Lepisosteus oculatus: one gene and its partners. The protein of the gene in region 2 purifies or fractionates together with the protein of the main gene of each other region. This does not show direct contact. Links are inferred from orthologs where the notes say so. Each region holds a gene or a part of one and is shown on either strand. Other genes may lie near its edges.

Region 1 (7,731 bases), on a different chromosome or scaffold from region 2:
GCTGCACGCGGGCCCTGCCGCGTTCACACCTCCAGGCAGGCCGTGTCACGGCACCCCGGAGCAGGAACCGCGGGATTCCCGTTTGACACATCCAGCACGGCCGAGGTCTTGGGTGTACAGGCCTGCGCTGAGACCCAGTCCCGCCCGGCTCGTTTTAAACCCCACCAGCCCTGGCACAGGAATGCCCCGCCGGGATTCGCGATTCGCCCGCGACGAATGGTGACTGGAGACAGCTGGTGGTCGAAAGACTAAAAACCTGGCCCATTTCAATGCAAGTGAGCTTCACCTGATCTACAGAAACCTGACAAAAGCACCATGACAAGCGTTCTTTACCTCTTCGTCTTTTTAATTTACTCATCAGTGGCAATGGGAGCCCCCTCCTGCACCAGCGGCCCCTCCTGGGAGACACACAGCCCCCTCCAGCACCAGCGGCCCCTCCTGGGAGACACACAGCCCCCTCCTGCACCAGCGGCCCCACCTGGGAGACACACAGCCCCCTCCTGCACCAGCGGCCCCACCTGGGAGACACACAGCCCCCTCCTGCACCAGCGTCCCCACCTGGGAGACACACAGCCCCCTCCTGCACTCCCTTCGTGTTGCAGCCTCCCGCACTCTTTACTCCAGAACAGGACTGAAAATCCTGCTGAGGGCTTGAAGGGTTGGGCCCCTGACTACAGCCAACACCCTATACACCTGTGCTCTTCGGACTCGGCTCTGCTCTCACGTCCCAGCGCTCCCAGCCCTCAGCGGAACTGCGCAAGTCACTCCGCTCTCCCCGACGCCTCTCAGAGGTCTCTTTCGCACTACGGCTTTTCCCTCCGTTTAATTTACTCGTGTTGCGCGCGTCTCCGGTGTTGCCTTTCCGTCACTGCGAAGTATGTCACAAAAGGCAGGGTATAAAAAGATTAATGAATAAAATTCACGTTGCGGCACTTATTAATCAGACTACAACCGCAGCCCCGGAGGGGACACTTGTCGAGGGGGTTTCAAGGTCTCCTTACATCAGCACCGGCAGCAGAAAAGTTGGGAGACGCTGCTGAAGTGGCCCAGTTGAACAAGTAACCACCCAGTCCAGCTCAGGCTGATTTGGCTTGAAAACCTGCAGATACACTGGCCCCACCAGCGCCAGGGTCAGGCTGGTAGCTGTCATAAAATTAATTAGGTGTAAAGGACTTTGAGTCCTATATGGCTAAAAAAAATAATGAGGTTAATTGCTTAATGGTGGCCTCAGGTTATAACAAACCGCAGGTCCCCAGACTGCAGCTTTCACCTCATCTAAGAGTGGGACCCCCCACCCCCACATCACGGCTGACTCCCACTTTACCACTCAGTTACTGAAGTTACTCTTGAGCTCGCAGATCCCCACAGCATCTCACAAAAAAGGGGGGAGAGGGGACGAGGGAGGTGGGGGGCACTGAGCTAACTGGCTGAATGAGAATTTGGTTCCGATCAGGGAGAGCAGCGTTCCCATCTGACACGGGGGTCAAGACACCACACCTGTGTCACAAGGGTCAGCTCGTCTGAACGCCGCCCCGCATGTCTTCCTGCGGATCCCTGCCAAAAACACACACACACACGAGAGAGAGAGAGAAGCACAACTCCAGACACGCCGCTGAAACCCACTTCCACTCCAGTCCACACGTCATAGGTCCAGAGCAAGCTCTTCAGAGAGCCACCCTCCTCGCCAGCAGCTCCCACAAGCAGCCGGGACCCCTCCGGCATCCCGGCCGGGGGAATTCCCTTCCCATCCCAGGGGAGCAGAAAACAAACAAGCTGACGGCCTGCCGTGGCACCGACACAGCCCACACAGGTCCGAGCGGCGACCCGGGACGCCCAAACCCCCGACCTTAACACGCTGGCCGCGGTCCAAACCGGGTCGGGCTGAGCTGTCCGAGCAGAACCGACACCTCCCGCCCGGCTTGCCCCCACCACCCCACTCCCAGCTCCTCACCGGCGGCAGAGGCCGTCCCGAGCCGGGACTGTGCGCCCTGCCGCCTGGGCTCAATAACACACAAGGTCTGGTAGACACACACGAGAGAACAGCGTAACAACAAACGGGCTCACCTCCTCTCGCCCCTCCGCCGCGGCGCCGGGTGACCTTTCTTTAATTTTTGGTGGTGTGTCGCCGTCTATGAGCAGTTCCGAGTGGCAGTGAACGAAGGCCCCGGGACTGATCCCCGAGCTCTCCTCGACGTTCTCCGCCGGCGTGCGAGCCCCGCCGCCGGGCTGGGCCAAGCCGCACAGCCCGCGGACTCCGGGGGGGCCTCGGCTGACGATGCCGGGAGGTGGGGATGATGCCCCAGAAGCTTACAGACGGGTCTTCCCTCTCATGGTATCCACCGAGACCCCGGCAAAACAACCCCGTGTGCGGCCGCCCCCCCCCCGCAGGAAGAGGGCAGGTTTCTCCACACGTCCCGTCCGGACCCGAAACACCCGACACGACGGGGCTACAACCCGCCGGAGGAGCCGCTGAGCCTCGGCCGAGCCCCGCTCTTCCTCCTGCCCGTCTCGCCGAGGCGGACTTGAACAGATTCTGTTACTCGAAGAAGGAGACGCGACAGTCCCGGTCCAAGCTCAGGGGGGCCACTCGCCGTCTCTTCCAATTGATGTTTATTTGGGTTTCATCAACGAACTGTCCTCCCCTCCGCAGGCAGTCGTCCCTCCCGGTCTCGTCTCTGATCCGCTCTTCGAAACGAGCGGAGAGCGGGAGCGGAGCTTTTCTTCAAATCTGCGGTTATCGGCCGCTGGGCTCGTGCGCGACACTCCGCTGGTTTAAAAAAAAAACGAGCCCAGAAAATCCGGCACGAGCAACACTTCAGGTTTCGCCCCCCCCCCCTCTGCTCAACTCCCGAGGACACGCTGGAAGCCCCGCCTCCCCGCAGCTGCCATTGGCTGAACCAGCTCGTCACTCCAAAACAACACAGCCAGTGAGGTGCCTGGAGCGCTGCGACTGACAGCCAAATGGGTTAAGAAAATAGGTGACCTTAATCCCTCCCACTTTGATTCAGTTCACACTCCATGATTAATGTGATGTGTGTGCACTTCGGGGACGTGGGTGTGATAACATTCAAAATACATAGATGTGTAGACCATTTTCTGTCAAGAAGTTAATTATTACATATACATTTAAACATATAAATGTCACAACCGAAGAAGACTCCACAGTCGAAACGTTGTCTCCTTTCTTCTCTTTTCAGCATGGAATAAACCTTTAACTTGTTCCTTTGCAGCCTACACATGCTGACGCAGCTATCTACTTGAACTACATATGCAGATCCAATATCATACTGGTTTTTCATAACAGATGTTTGTGATGAGTGCCTGTCACACTGAAGGACTGTCACATTTAGCAAACATGTTGGATCACACAACCAGCTGTGTTAATTCTGTAACCAGAATTCCTAAAACCACAAGACCCTGCTGAGCCCAGAGAAGAGCCCCCTCAGCCAGCTGGTCCTGAGGCTCACTGACACCAACCTGTCTCACGCCAGCACAGCTAAAACAGCATGAATCAGTCAACCAAATCACAACACAAGCCAAACAACACTACCCCTCTCACTGGGACTCACACACAAACATAACAACAACTGGAATGCTATAGAACCCTTAGTGATACACACTAGATGAGCACCTAACCAGGCAAAGAGAAAGAGACCCTGTGCAGCTCTGTGTGACCACAGCCTGGACACAGAAACTGGACACAGACAGACCTGTCTGTCCAGAGAGGACAGGCTCAGTGACCACTTCAGTATGTGATCTCAGGAACGGACAAGAATGTTTTATGTGTTGTACATAAATGTCCAATAATATATTTGTACTGTAAATGTGTATAAATAGTGATATCTGTATTTGCTATAACTCATCAGTCAGGCCAATAAAGCTCTTCGAATCTGAATGTGACAAAGTGAAGGACTAACAGAGTCTGAGTGACCATTATTGACTCCCAGTGTGACAAACGCACAGACACTGAATGATGTGCTGACCAACACTCTTTAATTCCACAGCTGAAAGGAATGTCCTAACTTGACAGGCCAAAGGAATTGAGCCTTTTGGACCGTGAGGAGACCTGATACGAGTATTCACAATCCTGAAAAACACATTGACAGTTCTAACCTAGAAGAATCAGCAGATAAACAGGAACAAGAAGAGTCCAATGGAAACTACAGCGAAGAGCATTTAAAACCAAAAATGGGAGGCCATTCTTTACACAAAGGGTTGTGGGAGTGTGGAACAAGCTTCCCAGGCACGTTGTTGTCTGGTTTCTTTCAAGACACATGAATGAGATTATTAGATAAATTATCAATCAGCCTAGATGGGCCGCAATTTAGAACTGATCCTCTAGTTTAGAAGTGTTTTTCTGATCTGGTGCTTTTGCACAGAACTCTCAACACCCGTCTTAAAAACTGTATAAAACGGCATTCAACTGCCTTTCTCCTGAATCGGTTGATTCAAACAGTGACTTTGCTACACCTCTCACTAATGCAAAATGAACAGCTTTTTTGTAGCAAATAATTTTTTTATTAAAAATACTCCAGAAAAAAAAATCAGCTTTGTTAAAACAAGCAAACCTTCTGATTTGTGCAGTCAGAGTGCCAAATCTGTAAAAGAGCTGTTTCCAGGAAAGACAAAAAACAGAATTTCCCGCTGCTGAGTAAGAAACCGTGGCAGCTCCTGGATGTGTTTCTGGGTGGGGTGATGATAAAAAACACAATCTCCGCTGACTTACTCAGAGCCCGTCATGAAAGTACTGGGGCAAGGTCACTGCTGGCTCCACGTCTCTGTCTCCGTTCAAGCCCCTGGACGTCAAGCTGCTGCAGGGGCTCCTGGGAACCGCCCCCCCCCCCCCCAACCCCCCAAACCGGGCTTTAAAACGGTCACTGTCCGTGCGCGAGACCGCCTGAGCCAAGCCGGCCCGGCGCTCACTTCAGGTCAATGAAGCGGATGTCCATGATGAGCAGCACGTGGCGCGGGAGGGGCCGGGGCGCGGGGGACAGCACGGTCATGACCTGGTTCTGCGTGTCCACCGCCGTCACCACGATGAAGCCGCACACGGGGCTGTCCAGGATCCCGCCCCCGGCCGCCTTCCCGCCCCCCGCCTCGGCCCCGCCCTCCTCGCCCCCGCAGCTCACGCTCAGCACGTGGTGCGCCAGGTCCCGCCCGGGCGTGACGGGCACCAGCTTGAGCTGCGTGTCGTCCTGGGACATGCCCAGCGGCAGGCAGGAGTCCGGGATGGAGGGGGCGCCAATCTTGTAGATCCGCACGTCCGAGAAGCGCACGTCGAAGGCGTGGGGGAAGAAGGAGACCCCGCGGAAGCCGTAGAAGTACTCCCGGATCTTCTCGTCTCGCGCCTCGCGACGGCACTCCTTGGAGCGCTCCACCACCTGGAAGAGAGGGGTTAAGTAGTTAATGAGTTATTGGGGAGGAGCAGTGGCTCTGTGGCTAAGGATGTGCGCCTGTGGCTGGAACGTCAAATCCTACTCTGTTGGGCCCCTGAGCAAGGCCCTTAACCCCAGCTGCTCCAGGGACGCCGTATAAATGGCTGACCCTGCGCTCTGACCCCCAGCTTCTCTCTCCCTGTCTGTGTGTCTCATGGAGAGCAAGCTGGGGTATGCGAAAAGACAAATTCCTAAAGCAAGAAATTGTATATGGCCAATAAAGTGATGTTATGTTATGTTAACGAGCTGCGAGTGCCTGGCCACGCTGGCGTGACTCTCTTGCTGCTTGAGCACGCTCGTGTTAGCAGGGAGGACGCCGAGATACAGGAGGCTACTTTTGAGAAAGACAGCCCTTGGTGTCGACACCACCACCATCTCCCACCGTGGGCCAGCAGTTACCCAGCGAGAGGACATGTCGCCAGAAGTGTAGAATTTACATCGAGGGACCATAACAACAATGAGAGGAGGCCATTCAGCCCTTTTGGTAGTTCATGACAAATTGATCCAAAGATCTCATCCGGCTGGGTTTTGAAAGAAGCCAAGGTACCAGCTTCAACGCCACGGCTGGGCAGCTTGTTCCACACTCCCACCACCCTTCGTGTAAAGAAGTGCCTCGTGTCCTGACTGGAGGATCTCGTCCAGCTGCGTCCTGAAAGAAGTCAGGACAGCTTGACGGAGTGGGCAGCCTGACTGGTCAGCTTGTTTCCAATTATCACACACTGAAGCAAGACTGTACAGCGGACCACAGAGGCCCCATTTAAAGTACTTTGACACTGCAGTGTGGCCACTTATATTCCTGGGCTTAAAGGACAATGACAGGGGAAAATAAATTAAATGGGTTTCATCATAGATCCCAGAGGCATCACCAAAGCCTTATGAGTACTCTTACAATACTCCCACTGGGGTGCATGAGCACTGAAGCAGCACTGGAGCACCAGCGGTGTGATGCGATAATCATGAAAATTGCCCGAAGTCAAGCCGTGAGTGCAGTTCGTTCCTACAGTGGTTTTCTGTCAGTGTGTCCTCCTGAGCCCTGGGCCCTGGGCCTGCACAGTGTTTATAACCTCTGCCTAGTTCCCCGCACTGCTGGGCTCAGTGCTGCAACACTGAATTCTGCAACAAAATTAGAATTACTCGGGGATTAAATCCACACTCCAGAAATGAAAATAAAACTCCTATTCTCCACAGCGAAAAGCTCTGAAGGAAGCACTACAGAGCCATAAATAGAGCCCTGTAAGAACACTGCCCCTGGGCATCCTCAGTGGAACGGCACTCCCTGTTTTTAAGAACACTTGGGGTATCACTGAGGACTCCTGGGGCAATACCAGACCACCCCAGAGAGAGTGGGGTATCACTGAGGACTCCTGGGGCAATACCAGACTTCCCCGCAGTGCAGGGTATCACCAAGGACTCCTGGAACAACACCAGACTGCCCCTGAGAGAGTGGGGTATCACCGAGGACTCCTGGGGCAATACCAGACCGCCACAGAGAGAGTGGGGTATCACCGAGGACTCCTGGGGCAATACCAGACCGCCCCAGAGAGAGTGGGGTATCACTGAGGACTCCTGGGGTAATACCAGACTTCCCTGCAGAGTGTGGGGTATGACAGAGGACTCCTGGAGCAATACTAGACAGCCCCAGAGAGAGTGGGGTATGACAGAGGACTCCTGGAGCAATACTAGACAGCCCCAGAGAGAGTGGGGTATCACAGAGGACTCCTGGGGCAATACTAGACAGCCCCAGAGAGAGTGGGGTATCACAGAGGACTCCTGGGGCAATACTAGACTGGCCCAGAGAGAGTGAGGTATGACAGAGGACTCCTGGGGCAATACTAGACAGCCCCAGAGAGAGTGGGGTATCACAGAGGACTCCTGGGGCAATACTAGACAGCCCCAGAGAGAGTGGGGTATCACAGAGGACTCCTGGGGCAATACTAGACTGGCCCAGAGAGAGTGGGGTATGACAGAGGCTCCTGGAGCAATACTAGACAGCCCCAGAGAGAGTGGGGTATCACAGAGGACTCCTGGGGCAATACTAGACTGCCCCAGAGAGAGTGAGGTATGACAGAGGACTCCTGGGGCAATATTAGATTGGCCCAGAGAGAGTGGGGTATGACAGAGGCTCCTGGAGCAATACCAGACTTCCCTGCAGAGTGTGGGGTATGATAGAGGACTCCTGGAGCAATACTAGACAGCCCCAGAGAGAGTGGGGTATCACAGAGGACTCCTGGGGCAATACTAGACAGCCCCAGAGAGAGTGGGGTATGACAGAGGCTCCTGGAGCAATACCAGACTG
Region 2 (7,139 bases):
ACTCATACAATACTTCTTACTCAATACTTTCTAAACATTTAATCAATAAAGCTCTCCTGTGTTACACTGTTTTTATAATTAAGGATGGATTAAATTAAAACTTCAGTCCAACCACAAACAGAAAATTCAAAGCCCACAACTTTATAGAGCGGCTTTCCATTGGATACACAAACTGAAAAACAGAAAGGTATTTATCAAGCGCTGCATTTCAAGTTTGTGCTTGTGTTATTCGCAGACAAGAAGTAATGATTTTCATGTTTACTATAACTGCTTATGTTAATTCAAACTGTGCATTGTATGATCCATCCATATTTAATATATAGTTGGATTGAAGTACAGTATCTAACGGATACATAAGCCCAACAGCTTGGCAACAAAGTTATTTTATCTTATGTAGTAACTATGTGTCACAGAGCATGAGTGAAATAAATGTTTTCAACACCATCAAAGGCAGACAAAATGCTTAAAATTGATTTAATAAGATGTTTTGGACATTAAATAGTAAATACCTTTCTAAACATTTTTAAACAATAGCTCCAACTGACCCTTTGATAATCTTGGCACAGCAATTTCTCTTTATTACAGAGTTTATTTAATCAGGGCTACAGCACTGTAAATACAGTAGAATCTATACTGCTTACTTACTAAAAAGGATAAACTCAACAAATGAAGCAGAAACTGAATGTACTGCATTTCTAAAGTGAATTTTGTGCAGAATGTCTTACATTCATTTTAGATTCTAAACTATTTTTTTAAATTCACACAGTAAATTTAATCAGTGTTTGCTGAAAGTGGGAAAATAAATGAAGTAAATGTTTTACATGTTATGTTCCTACTGTAATTTAAGAAATATATAAGGAACAAATAAAACAATACATCTCTTTATCATACAATACAGAAATATATTGAAACTGCTCATTATTTAGCTGAGTTGTTTCAAATGTGTAATAGTTTATTTTTAAACACTGAGGCTTCAAAACAGTATGATAACTTTTAAAATAATAAAATGTGTATTCTTATTGTAATTTTCTTATAGAACAATACCTACAGTAACATAACAAATGGAGTTATTTTTTAAAAAAAATCCATAGCATTAAAATACAAGTGTTTCTTTGTATACACTGCAATAATCCATTTGTTAGGGATTAATTTCCTTAGCTGAATAGACTGCTTGAATCAATATGGGTAGGAAATACCCATGTTTTTAAATTATTGCACCCCCTGGCCTTACCATGTTCATATAAATCAGACCGTGTCATTAACAGGTCTCTATGCAATTTTTTTGGGTTCACTGGAATGCTCCTCAGCACTCGTTTAACATTTCTCGTCAGTTTTTAGCTTTCCCCTCCTTTTGTAGGAAGCCAGGGGTCGACGGGGTAATTGGTTCATGCAGATAACGTACTTGCCATTCAAATAAACTCACCGTTTCGCAAGTGAAAAGGTCAGCCCATTCTCAGTGGCTTGAGTTTCTACACAAACAGGAAGAAAGTCATGATGGGTTCATGAACCAGAAAAGCTAGTCTAGTGGAACTGCACCCTGAACTACACTTTGAACCCAACTTTCTTTCTTCTCCGTTTTTTGAATGTGCTGGGTAAAGGTATCAGATGAATACAGAATGAACAGATCTGCCAGACTGTGACCTCCCCAGTGCTCTCCATTTAATGTTCCCCTTTCCCATGAGGCCTTGAGAACCCACCCAACACACAGACAAATGCTCACACAGGCTGTCTGAAAGGGTTAATAAGTCTAGTTGTCTACTGGTAGTTTTGTGACAAATCGCATATAGAGTCAGTGATTTGAGCTAAAGTATCTAATTTCTAATTTAGTCTTTTATGTCATTAACATGTCAATAATAAATCTTACAAATCTATAATGCTCTTTCTTTCAGAATTTATAACTTTATTCTGACTACTTTAAACTATGTCAGTCCACAAAATCTTTTGCTGAATTATGTTTTTACAAGTGTATTATTAACTTTATTAATGATCTTTATAAATCCTTATTATATGCTATATAGCCTTATTGGTGCTTTGTCTTTATCCTATTGGATGTTAATGCTAATTGCCAAGACTAAAATTAAACAGAGGTATTATTCAATATACAATTTTTCTGTGAAATAGGTGACTGAAAAAATGTGCCTATTCATGAAAGGAAAAGGAAAAAGGTAGAATGTAAAGATTTTTATTTTTAATTGCTCTTTTTCCCATGGGGAAAACCTAGTATTTACTTACACAAATGTTGTATAAACTGAAAATCTTCTCCCACTAGGGCAGATTAGCTACCTACACCTACCTACGCTGCACCTGAAACGTGAAAACCAAGGTACATGAAAACTTTTTTTTCTAAATGAAATATGTCTACCACCAGAATTTTTTACTATATTATAGCAGGTGGGGTCACTCATTTCAGAAATGGTGGGAACAGGGGCTAGGATGGGCTTGGGAGCTAATTCCATATTGCTGTAAAGTTATCAGCATCTTTACACCCCCACTCAAGCTCATAACACTATTAGTTGCAGCTACAGTGGTCACAATATACATCTGACCTTGCTAAAGAGGAGGTTTCAATGCAAAAAAAGATATGCCATGAATCTGTCTTTTTACAATGAGGAATCTGTGAAACTGAACTTCATGTTTTTTCTGGATAAATTATTAAGCCTTTTAAACTTTAAATCTGTATATTCTCTCTCCCACACTTAATTATGTGGTAATACCAACTCCTGTCACTCATTTTGATAGGTTTTGTCATGTTAAAAATGCTTTTGGAGTTCGAATTGGAGCTTGCACAAAAGCATGGCCATTTAGACACTTAGAATTAGAGCGAAGCAAAAAGAAATGTGCTCAATGCAAAAAAACAGATTTTTGTGATTAATGGACTGAATGCCTTACATTTCTAGAAATCCTGGTGAGATTCCCAGTTTGCCTAGTTTTTAATGGGAAAAAAATGTAATGACAATAAAACATCAATAAAACATTTGAAAAGGCAAAGTAACCCAACTGAGCTGGGAACTCACTAGAAACACCAATAACTCTAATAATTAACGAAACAGAGATACAGTACTGCATATACAGTAGCAGCCTTTGTTGATCCACTTCTGGATTAATTCTTCCCTAAGACTCTTCCATGAACATTTGCCTACAGCTATCTTTGTCCAACTTGCTATTGCAAACATAATGATTTCACCTTTTAATTTTACATTTGTCCTTGTTATTTTATGCCTCTTGTAAACTAGCTCAGTATTTCCTTGGTCCAGAGAATGTCTGTTCTATGTTTTATGTGTCCTACCCATTGCCAATTCATTGTTTTTCTGATGTCACATGCCCTTTTTGGGTGTTCTGACCCAAGCATAAACTGTTAATTGTGTGTTGTTTGGTGATATCAGAGCGAACACTTTTGAGCACTCTTGAAATCTTATAAATGGTGCTGAGTAGGTTTATCGATGTCTGTTTTTTAAACATCTAAAGCAGGTACGTTGTACAGAGTGTGAAATGCTTTCTCATATGCAGTTGATTCAATAAATGCCAGTGTTTTAATGATTGTCCAACTACTTGCTGACAGCTCAGTGTGTTATATCCAGCACTGAATCCTGCTTGCTCTCTAGGGCGGACAGAGTCCAGTTTTTCTTTGAAGCCTTAGCGCACATCTTGTTGCTAAATGTCAGCTAGCTGTACTGTATGTTTTTATTGCTGTTCTTGTACAGAAATGTCAATAAGGTATTGCTCCTATGACCTGGAAATCCCCTGCCTGTAAATACCAGGAGATGGTGTAGTTTGATGGGATCTAGTTTTGGCTCTATTCATGCGGAGTGATAGACAATTAAAAAAAGTTCCAAAAGTTCCGATGAGTTAACTCACGTGCAGCTTTATACAAACGTTGTTAGCCTCTCAAATTTGAATCAGTGAAACGATTGATTCTGCAATCGTCGGGATTGCTTTTCCGCGTTAAAAGTCATTTTCTAACTTTTAGAAACACTTTAAGAAATAAGCCACTCTTAGGAACAAGACTGAAACGAAATAAATTCATTAGTAAATTTAAATTCTGTACAGTTGCTGAAAAAAAGAGTTAATAAAATAATGGCCTTCAAGCGGAACATGTTTTTCAAATTTTCAGTCGGACTTGTAATGTAAGTGCACCAGTCAAGGCGGAAGTACGGAAGTAAGAAATTAAAGGGGTTTCAACATGGCGGAGGTAAGGGAGGGTTCTAATTTTGTTCTAAGTTTATTTTATTTGGTTAGAACGGTTGCGAATAAAAAAAAATAGAGAAACCTTTAAATATACAGTATATTTTTAAAATATCCATGTGACATGTTAATGTTTTGGTGTGATGTGTCAGTACAGCGTTTTGTGCTCCAGCGTGTTTACAATGTTACTTGCTTTTGAAAAAACAAAGCACAAATCTTGTAATCGATAAGGTGGGGGAAAAACACTGACAGTTTCTGTAACAATCTACAACTTTACTGTTCAGCTCCTATAAATTATTGTAAGGAAGGTCGGTTAGGATATTTCATTAAGACAAAAGCTGTCTGCTATCAGTTCAACACAGCTCTTCAGCAACTGCTTTGTCCAAGAGAGAATCCGCCGTGTTTCTTCTTGATAGTATTTAATCAAAACAAATGGACAGCATTTTATAGTGTTAAATGCATGCTTTAACCTACGTCATTGTTTAAATGTATTTGCTCGGAGGGTAATGACAGAATTTTTAAATGCATTTCTTCTTTAGACAACTAACGTTTTTAAATGAGTCGAGTAACTGGGAAGTATGAATGAGGAGCCGAAAAGTGAAGCTAAATTAACAATGTACTAAAAGCTAAACACATTTTAACAAAGGAACCGTTTGTTTTTTAAAAAATATTGATTCAATCGACTTAGTCTAAAAGTGTCTTATTTTAAAAGTACCTGCTACATGACATTTAAGTATGGAAGAATTGAAGAAAAATCGTGAATGTATTAGTAGGACAAATTAAAACCTGCTTAAATGTTTACAGGTGTTTTTTTTTTCGTTTCGATCAGTTACAATCCGCGTTATTTTATTTTTAGCTAGTTGAAGTGTTGTGGGGTTTATGTTTCAGTTTGATTAAAGATTATACATTGTTTTTTTATGTCAGTTCTCTTATCTGTCCACAAACACAATCAGTCAATAAGAATGAAATATTTTAAAATGAACATATATTTTAATAATGTACAGTGAATGTCTACTTCTTGTGATTTACAGTTTTTAATTATGTCTTAACAACAAACATCATGAATCATTGCCGTATTCTAGATGGGATAGTTTTGTGACACTATCTTCACCTTAATCTTAAAATGTCTCTTGTGAATTGGAACAAAGGTCTATTGCAGTATTATACAGATTGTGTTACATTCTCTCTGGCAATGCACAGGACGTCTGCCTTGTTCATTATGCTCTGTCGTCACTCAGCTTCAGCAAAGGTAATACTGATGAGTCAGTGACTAAAGTTGTATTGACTGACATGAGATCTTGGCCAAAGCATTTTTATTAATCCTCTATACTCTGTGGTGCATAATTGGCCTGACCAATACTTTCTTCTGGCATTTAGATAGACACATTTAAGTGCTTGCTAAAGCATAATGACTTGCTTAGCAAGCTTCTTAATGTGTGCAGATACCATATATATCAATGTTAGTGGGGAAAATCTGAAACTGAGGTATCTGTGGTATCCTGCACAAGCAGCAGTTAATTAATAGGCACTCTCTGGGAGCTATGTAATCGTGGAAAAATAGCATGTGATGATCAAACTTAACTCTGTTATATCAGAATAATGTACAAAGAAAGGCTTTGTCAGCAAAATGCGTGTAAAAATTCAAAGAAAATACACACATTAAAAAACTAGTGCAGAAGTGCTTAGACTCTCCTAAGTCAGTACTTGCTGGAAGCAGCTTCAGAAGTAATTGTTGATGTGACTTTTTGGATAAGTCTTGACTGCTTTGTTCGGTCCTGTTTTCCCACTCTTTGAGAAAAATTGCTCCAGTTTGACAGTATTACTGGGGTTTGTTGATGGAGCACAATCTTCAAGTTTTGCTATATATTTTCTGATTCAACTCGGGGTCATTGTTGCATTGTCATTAATGTCTTTCTTGTCACTCACCAATACAGGACAGCTTTATATAGAATCTGGTATATTGTCAATATGTGACATTGGTGTTCATACACAGAAGTTTGTAAACCATTTAAAGTCAGTGTTCATCTCAAAGTAGCATCTCTAACCAGTATAACTTAGGTCCAATGATATGAAACGCATTCCACTTTGTGATTACCAGCAACTTTGATTTTTTGGGTAAAACGTTCCTGATCTTTTCTTCTACTTTATTCTTGACTTGTTTGGAAAGGACCTTGGTCTTCATGGTTGATTTGATGCAGTGTATCACTGTGTTAGTCGTGGCTTGAAATTCAATATCTAAATCTGCTGAGACTGATGCAATAACTCTGAAGTCAAATTAAACCACTTTGAATGTAATGAACAACCATTACACTGATTTTCTGAATTTTCTGACTAATTGTTAGAACCTGAATTCATTTCCGTTTATCATAGAAAATATTTTGAATACTTACACATTTGAGAATCTTCGTATTTTCTTGGAAAATCTAATAGATTATTTACATTTAACAATATTTTGTAGCTTAATCAGTTGGGATGGGTTTTGCGCAGATTCTCAATATCTCAAATATTTGAGAATATATTCTCAAAGTACTGTTTGAAAGTGTCATGATTGCAGGCTTAGATTACGCACAATGTAGAAACGCTACAGGGGGGCATGTACTGTAAATGTATGGATTCTACTAAATGTGGTTTTAAATGTGTGCTGCGAATTTCAACGCTGGAATTGTATTAGAGGAAAAACTCTTAAATTCTTTGCCTGTTTTTAGATAAAATGTAATTCCAGTCTTCAGACATGTAAAATTAGATGTACTAGATCTTAACTCAATACACTGACACATTGTATGCTTTCTTAAAGTCTCTTTGTAAGGCTTTTCCAGTACATACTTGGATAAAAGCACCATTGTTGATATTGTTTTATTTTTGTAAAAATAAACAGTTACAGTGACGTGGCATCATGCAGTAGAATTCAAAGCCCGTTTAAGGTTACAGAGATGAAAGTCTTTCCTTTTAAAATATTG
Region 3 (7,405 bases), on a different chromosome or scaffold from region 2:
TGCGGATTGACTCTCTCCCCTCGGTGTGGGGGCGTCAGGGTGTCCTGCGGATTGACTCTCTCCCCTCGGTGTGGGGGTGTCACGGTGTTCTGCGGAGTGACTCTCTCCTCTCGGTGTGGGGGTGTCACGGTGTTCTGCGGAGTGACTCTCTCCTCTCGGTGTGGGGGTGTCTCGGTGTTCTGCGGAGTGACTCTCTCCCCTCGGTGTGGGGGTGTCGGAGTGACTCTCCCCTCGGTGTGGGGGTGTCCTATGGAGTGAATCTTTCCCCTCGGTGTTGGGGTGTCCTGACAGTGTGACTCTCTGCCATAGCCTGAGAAGCCCAGGCAATTATTTGAACACGGAAGTTTGTCTTTGGAAACTACCTCTGTTCCCCTTCTGATGTCACGTTATGTTTTGAGTCAAAGTTCTCCTCTGCTTTTGCTTTCTGTTTTGATGCTGCACAGGGGTGAATGGGACATAGGCAGAGTGAAGAGAATTTTACCTTTCTTCTGTCTCCCAGTATTTGAAACATTATGCATTTATAAGACCAGAAGAGGCCCTGGGTTTGTCTGATCTTGCACTTAGTTGTCCTGCAGTGCCTTGAAAACTAGTTTCTCCATGTTGAAACAGATGCCACAGGCAGAGGAGCAGACTGGATTGGCTGGGTGGGTCTGGCCAGTCCCCTGGCTTTGAGAGATGATGTACATGAGCAGGTAGGTCTTTCAGTCTGTGTGAGAAGGGAGAGGACAGAGAGGAGGCTTCAGGCTCCAGGCTCCAGGCTCCAGGCTCCAGGCTCCAGCCATACTGACTACAGACACACACAAGAAATGCGCAAATAGACAACTCTCACAAGTTGAGGAGTCAATAAGTACTTTAGGGCAAAAGCTGAATTTCATTTAAATAAAGCAAAACCAGGAAACCCAGCCAACCAAAATGGATCAGTCTGGCAAAACAGTTCTGCAAATCTCTACCCACAGATCCCAAACACAGAAGCATTAAACCAAAACAACATCCAGTATATGACAAACTCAAAGACAACCGAAACCCCCTAGACTCCCCGATCGCAGAGCTTGGCCCGCCACAGAAAGAGAGTCACCAATGAAAGGCTGAGAAATAGCAGCTTGCAGAAGCAGCAGGCCCTGCTCAAACTCTCCAACCTCGTCCTGAGAGCCGGCTGTTCACCTGAGGGCATCAAGGACTGATCACCCCCATCCAGAAAAGTGGAGACTGACTTGACCTAATAACTTAAATAGCGAGGGTTTTTGCCTACTCTTTAAGCATTGAAAGGAATACATTTACGAGCACTTGACAGCAAAGCTCATACCTCCTGTTGGCTTACTGTTACTGTCATTGCTGCTGTGTGCCATCCTGGATTTCTTCTTTTAGTTCGGCATTCCCCTATCTCTTAACATTCACGCCTGTGGAAACAGACACAGAAGTACTGTTTCTCCTCCCTTTCAATTACTCTTCCAGCATTTTGCTGTGTCACTCATAATTCAAATGCATTTGAAATAAGCCTAGTCTAAAAGCTTTTGAGGTTTAACAGTACGCTAAGAGTAGATACTGTGTCTTGCTGCCAAGTCATCATTGTTGTATTCCGTGCATGGTTGGAAGATCAGACACACATGCTGCTGCAGTTTCACCTCTAGAATAACATTCGATTGGAAAGGCATGCCATTCATGGTTTTCACGGTAATTGTGACAATGACACGCGTTTAAATCCAGGAATGCTCACTGACAGAGTGTTTTACTTCTTGTGTGCAAAAACAGTCCACGTGCTCCATTTGATTAAGTCTTTTTTGCACAAAGAGGAGTGTGACAATATTCTTGTGTTGTTCAAGTCAATGCTACTTTGCATGAGGCAACATTATTACATATAGAGTTTAATGCAAGATATAATATTGTAGGCAATGTTGTTTAGAAATTAATTATTGCGTTTTAACACAATGTTATCTGGTTTCTCGTTTAGACACAATATTGTCTAATATAAACGCAAAATGTTTCAAAAGCCACCTCTCACTGCCTCTACCTTTGTGTAAAGACGTGTCTCCTGTTCTCAGACTGGAAGTCCCTGGTGATCTCCATGTGTAAGTGCACCCTGACATTCATAACTAAAGACTACTACCACTCCTCCAGGACTCTGGTCCGACCCAGGTAGTCCAGGGATCCTCAGCGCTGGTCCTGGAAAGCACTGGTCCAGACTGCTGTCCGGACCCGGCCCAGACAGCTCACTTTTCATGGAAACTGAGCACAGGACATGGCTTCAGTTGTCGATCCAGTGATGTCAAGCCTTAGTCACCTCAGTCTATGGTTCACCCTCAGAAGAGGCTTCTGCTATGAATTGTATAGAAAATTAGATGCCCAGGTATGAATGTCGCATTCAGGCAAGCAACTTTGAAAGGCAGTTTTCTACACTTTGTATCCTGAATATCCCCAAGTGCATTGGAGATCTTCAACTGTTTGCGAACTTTTAGTTGTACTGCTGTCTCCAGAACCACTTGTCTCATAGCCTGTGGTGACAATAGACAAGTGTGCCCTCTTCCGGGCAGAGTGGACACTTTATGAGTGAGATCATTAATGATAGATTTTACAGTGGAAAGTGATAGATTCAGCTTTCTGAGAGCCTCTACTGCCATGCTACTATTGAATGTCTTCCATGCCTTAACTCTCTTTTAATCTTGGACATTGGATTTTGTTTTAAGGAATATTTACAGGTGTAAAGTAATAATTTATGACAAATACGACTTTTTATCTGTGCAGGACAACTACAGTCTGATGCTGTGAGAATTAGTGTTTGAGCAAGACCCATTATTCAGCTTGTAAGACTTTCAGTGATCATTTTGTCCCTGTCTCCTCAGAAGTATAAACATATCTCAGAGGCACTGTGAGATCCTGTCTGTGGTTCCTGTTAGAAGCTGTACGTTTTCTGCCTCTTTGGGTCTGACACTGACCTTGGCTGAGGGTCTCTTATCAGAAAAAGAGGATCGGAGATCTCTGGCTCCTTGTGGTGTTTATTAGCCCAGTGAAAGTACATCGAGAGGTCGAGGAATTCCCCCCCAGGGTGGAGTCATGATCAGCTTATAAGATCCGGCGCTCGATCCGAAAGAGAAAGAGAAAGCTGATACGGAGAGCAGCACTCAAAGCCAAGGGAGAAGTCAAGAGAGATCATGGCGATGTGCACTCAGAAACAGGTCTGTTTTATCACCATCCCTCTTCTTCCACGCGAGCAGGCACCGGGGGCGATGGCTGTTGTGTACTCTTATTTCGTAACTAAGACGGAGCAGTTTGTGTGGTGTGTGTGCGAGGTGTGTTCTCCCCACTCTGGGTGCCTGGGGAATTCGCTTGTACGACCGCTTCTTGTGCAGCTGTGCGGTCTGTGTTCAGTGTGGAGAAGATAGCAGCGGTTGGAGAAGAAGACACAGGAACAGATCACTTTATTGGCCATATATAACGAGACGTGATAACTTTGCTTTTCAAAGGATCACAGAGAGTTTGCATCAGAAGAGTGTCTTCTTGCCTCTGCACACAGCGTGCATACTGCCAGCTGAGTTAGTCTGGTGAAAGGGGAAGAGTATGTTTACCAGGCTGAAAATCTCTTACTGAGGCTGGTAATAACATAGCTGTTACAGACACCAGTATCCATGCAGACTGAGCTCCTGCAGTTTATACCTGCACTTCTGTCGATCACAGAGCTGTGAGTCAGTTACAGACACCAGTATCCAGGCAGACTGAGCTCTTGCAGTTTATACCTGCTCTTCTGTCAATGGCAGAGCGGTGTGTCAGTCACAGTCACCAGTATCCAGGCAGACTGAGCTCCTGCAGTTTATACCTGCACTTCTGTCGATCACAGAGCTGTGAGTCAGTTACAGACACCAGTATCCAGGCAGACTGAGCTCTTGCAGTTTATACCTGCTCTTCTGTCGATAACAGAGCTTTGAGTCAGTTACAGACACCAGTATCCAGGCAGACTGAGATCCTGCAGTTTATACCTGCTCTTCTGTCGATCACAGAGCTGTGAGTCAGTAACAGACACCAGTATCCAGGCAGACTGAGATCCTGCAGTTTATACCTGCTCTTCTGTCAATAGCAGAGCTGTGTGTCAGTCACAGTCACCAGTATCCAGGCAGACTGAGCTCCTGCAGTTTATATCTGCTCTTCCGTCAATAGCAGAGCTGTGCGTCAGTCACAGTCACCTATACTCAGGCAGAATGAGATCCTGCAGTTTATACCTGCTCTTCTGTCAATAGCAGAGCTGTGTGTTAGTCACAGTCACCTATACTCAGGCAGAATGAGCTACATTTTCTCATTGGGTTTCCCTCTTTGATCTCCAGTTTGCACCTGAGTTTTGAGTGATGGACAGACAGCCAGAGACAGTTAGTTGACTGATTTGTCCTGGATTTCCCCAGATACACATTTCCTCATTCCAGCCCGCTGGGAGCCTGCAGGCAACACTCCCTCTGGCAGAGCAGACCAGCTGTCAATATGACAGCGACCTCTGGCCCAGTGTGGTTCACACCACCATGACCCTGAACCTGGCAGAGAGGGACCAGCAGGAGCCACTAGGGGGCACTGTGATGGCAAAGGTCATCGTCGGGAACAGTGGGAAGAGCCGGGAGCTGGAGCTGCTGCGCTCCGACACTGTGGGCCGGCTGCTGGTGAAGCTGCGGGCGGAGCTGCCGGATCTGGGTCCCGATGTGTCGCTGGCCCTGCGGGGGAAGCCTGTCAGACCGGAGCAGTGCCTGGGGCAGCTGGGAAACTGCAGCAAACTCCAGTTCATCACCTTCCACCGCTGCCAAGGGGGCTAGAGAGAGAGAGACGAGGAGCGGGACGGCCCAGGAGGGAAGGAATGAAGGAATCCCTTTCGTCTTCAGCAAGCAGCTCACTGGCGCATGTCATATCAATCACACAGCTCTGCTTCCGCTGATTCCGATTGATCTGCTGAATTAACCACACTGAATTGTTTCTTCTTTATCCTTCTATGCACTCTAGGAGGCTGTGTGTATCAGATCCTGCAATAAAAACGCTTCTTCTCTGACCAGAACTGGGTCTAAATTATTTCATTCTCAAACACATCCAGTGTCAAGCGTAGCAGCAGAGAGCCCCACCTGATGCGGGGACTGTAAAACTCAAGGCTGAGAGTCACGTCTTACTGTTCTTTGTGCTACCGCACAAGAAAGTCTGCCAAGTGAAATCAGGGTAAAAGCACATCACAGTGCAGTAAGGCCCACTGAAACCAGGGTACAAACACGGTAAAGTGCAGCAAAGCTCAGTAAGATCAAGGTAAAAGAGCGGCACAGTGCAGTAAACCCCAGGGAGATTAAATTAAAAGCAAAGTACAGTGCAGTAAAGCCCAGTGAAATCAGGGTACAAGCGCAGTACAGAGCAGTAAAGTCCAGTGAGATCAAAGACAAAAATACAGTACAATGCACTCAAGTTTACTACAATACAGTAAGATCCAGCGAACATTACGGTTAAGATACTTGTAAAAGTCCCGTCCAGTCCAGTAAAGTACAGTGAAACCATGGTAAAGCACAAAGAGCAGGAAAGTACAGTGAACTCCTGGTACAAATTCATTAAAGTGCTGTAAGGTACTGTGACATTTTACAAAACAATATAACATGCTGAGAGTAAAGACTTGCTAGTCAACACAAACCACAGCAAAACGTTTGAGGTTAGCTGAAAAAATTAAGTAAAAACTGAAAATGTAGTGCAGCTTTTCTACATTGAAGTCACAAAAATACTATTTGAAAAGAAAGCCTGTAGATCAGTGTTACTCTGACTTACTGTGACAGTTCCGTCTGTGAGAACCCTAGCTCTTCAATCAAGACTGTAAAGCAGTGTTAATCTGACTCACTTGGACAGTAACTGGGTCCTGTAGTAAGTCTACAGCAGATGCCTGGTATATTTACACTGTGGTCACAGCTGTCGGTGGGTCTGCCTCTGTCCGTGTGCAGTGTCAAATGGACACACACCATCATCACATTGTGACAAATGGGGGGTAACGAGACTGGTGAAAATCAGGAATTGACTGAGCGGGCTAGTCGATCAGTGAAATAATTATTCAGAACCCCCAACTTGTAAGTGATTTCTATACCCGAGCAGCTGGTATAATTGGAGGCATAGGAATTCTTTGTCCTCTGGCACAGCTTTGTTGAGAGGAGTATTAATCCAGACACACTCGGTTAAACAAATATTTATTACAATGACAAAACACAAACTACACTACACACAGCACACAAGTTACTCTGTGTACAGTATTTACAAACAAGGCCTAACATTCTGGTCACCCCGAAACCCCCAGACTGCTACTAAGCACAAAACTCTTAATATGCCTACAGAGGCCACACAAGAGATGAGCTGCCTTCTAACTAAATAAGAATCAATCTACACTTAAATCTCTCTCTCTGCACCCTGGATGCCACAAAATGAATGGGAGCCTATATCCCAATCCATAAAATGCACCCTAATCAGGAAAGACGTTTCTAACTGAGGTACCAGGAAACCCAAGCTCCCTGAAAACACAGAACAGCGCTCTCTCTAACAAGGTTCGAATACTTGGCTCCAGTCAGGTTCTGTTTGGGTGAGCATGAAGTAGGGGCTCTCGCCAACTCCTCTGGGCTCCTCTCTCTTCTTTTTTCTTCTCCTGTCTTCCTTCCTCCTCTCGGGCTCTTAATGTGATATTACATTGTCATTTTCTGTCCTGCTCCTTTGCCATCATTAACCCAGAACTTACCTAGGTATGCTAAGATAAACTGTTCAGTTGTTTCTGCTCAAGGGACCCCCCCAGACCTCAGCAAACATCCTCTCTCCTTCCACGTTTGAAGTGTTTACTCTTCCCAGTGTCACAGACTTTATCTGAAATCTAAGAGTCACTTCTAAGTCACCTAAAGCTGTAACAATATTAATCTTAATGGTATATTGCAACTTTCATAACACTTCCTCCAGATGAGTTTTGAAGAAAAACAAGCCAAAATAAAATAACACAGAATACTCATTTATAACCAAATTTCAACAGAAAGGGAAACAGAATTAAGATCTAGAGTACAACAGTGAGTTATAAGACAGGATGCAGAAGGGTTCAACAGGTCTGTAAAGAGAAGATCATATCTTAGATCTTAGTTTATCGTAGATCACTAAAAGAACACACAAGCTTGTGTTCCCTGTGTCTCCCAGGGTCTTCCAGAGTTTGGAGCCTCATACTGGCAACCAAAAGCAGGCCAAGGAGGTGTGTAAGGAGTCACTGATACAGTCAGGAACTAAACTGACGTGCTATCTCCGCACAGACAGATGCTCCCAGATGGACTAGAGCCCCTGCCTCTGGAGCTGTGAGGCTGTAGTGCTCACTGTAACATTACGCTCTCAATCAGCTGCTCAGTAACTCAACAATCAGACACTCGCATTTCAACCTCATGAGTGGGCAGCTTGC

The links.
Region 1: the proteins of golga7 (region 2) and zdhhc5a purify together in Homo sapiens (co-immunoprecipitation; 3 studies listed by BioGRID and IntAct, with this or other methods). This does not show direct contact. The link is inferred for Lepisosteus oculatus from reciprocal best matches to the Homo sapiens genes GOLGA7 and ZDHHC5.
Region 3: the proteins of golga7 (region 2) and cldnd1b purify together in Homo sapiens (affinity purification with mass spectrometry; 3 studies listed by BioGRID and IntAct, counting the BioPlex papers as one, with this or other methods). This does not show direct contact. The link is inferred for Lepisosteus oculatus from reciprocal best matches to the Homo sapiens genes GOLGA7 and CLDND1.

The regions. Positions count from the first base shown.
Region 1 is NC_090701.1:41,810,159-41,817,889, forward strand, and holds the start of zdhhc5a (palmitoyltransferase ZDHHC5-A), read right to left. Parts: upstream 3,060-7,731; 5' UTR 2,065-3,059; intron 1-2,064. Other genes in the region: polyribonucleotide 5'-hydroxyl-kinase Clp1, read right to left, coding at 4,920-5,381. UniProt on the Homo sapiens protein: Palmitoyltransferase that catalyzes the addition of palmitate onto various protein substrates such as CTNND2, CD36, GSDMD, NLRP3, NOD1, NOD2, STAT3 and S1PR1 thus plays a role in various biological processes including cell adhesion, inflammation, fatty acid uptake, bacterial sensing or cardiac functions.
Region 2 is NC_090697.1:67,434,735-67,441,873, reverse strand, and holds the start of golga7 (golgin subfamily A member 7), read left to right. Parts: upstream 1-4,089; 5' UTR 4,090-4,180; coding exon 4,181-4,189; intron 4,190-7,139. UniProt on the Homo sapiens protein: May be involved in protein transport from Golgi to cell surface. The ZDHHC9-GOLGA7 complex is a palmitoyltransferase specific for HRAS and NRAS.
Region 3 is NC_090701.1:44,637,456-44,644,860, reverse strand, and holds the start of cldnd1b (claudin domain-containing protein 1b), read right to left. Parts: upstream 3,050-7,405; 5' UTR 2,931-3,049; intron 1-2,930. UniProt on the Homo sapiens protein: Plays a role in negatively regulating the permeability of cells to small molecules.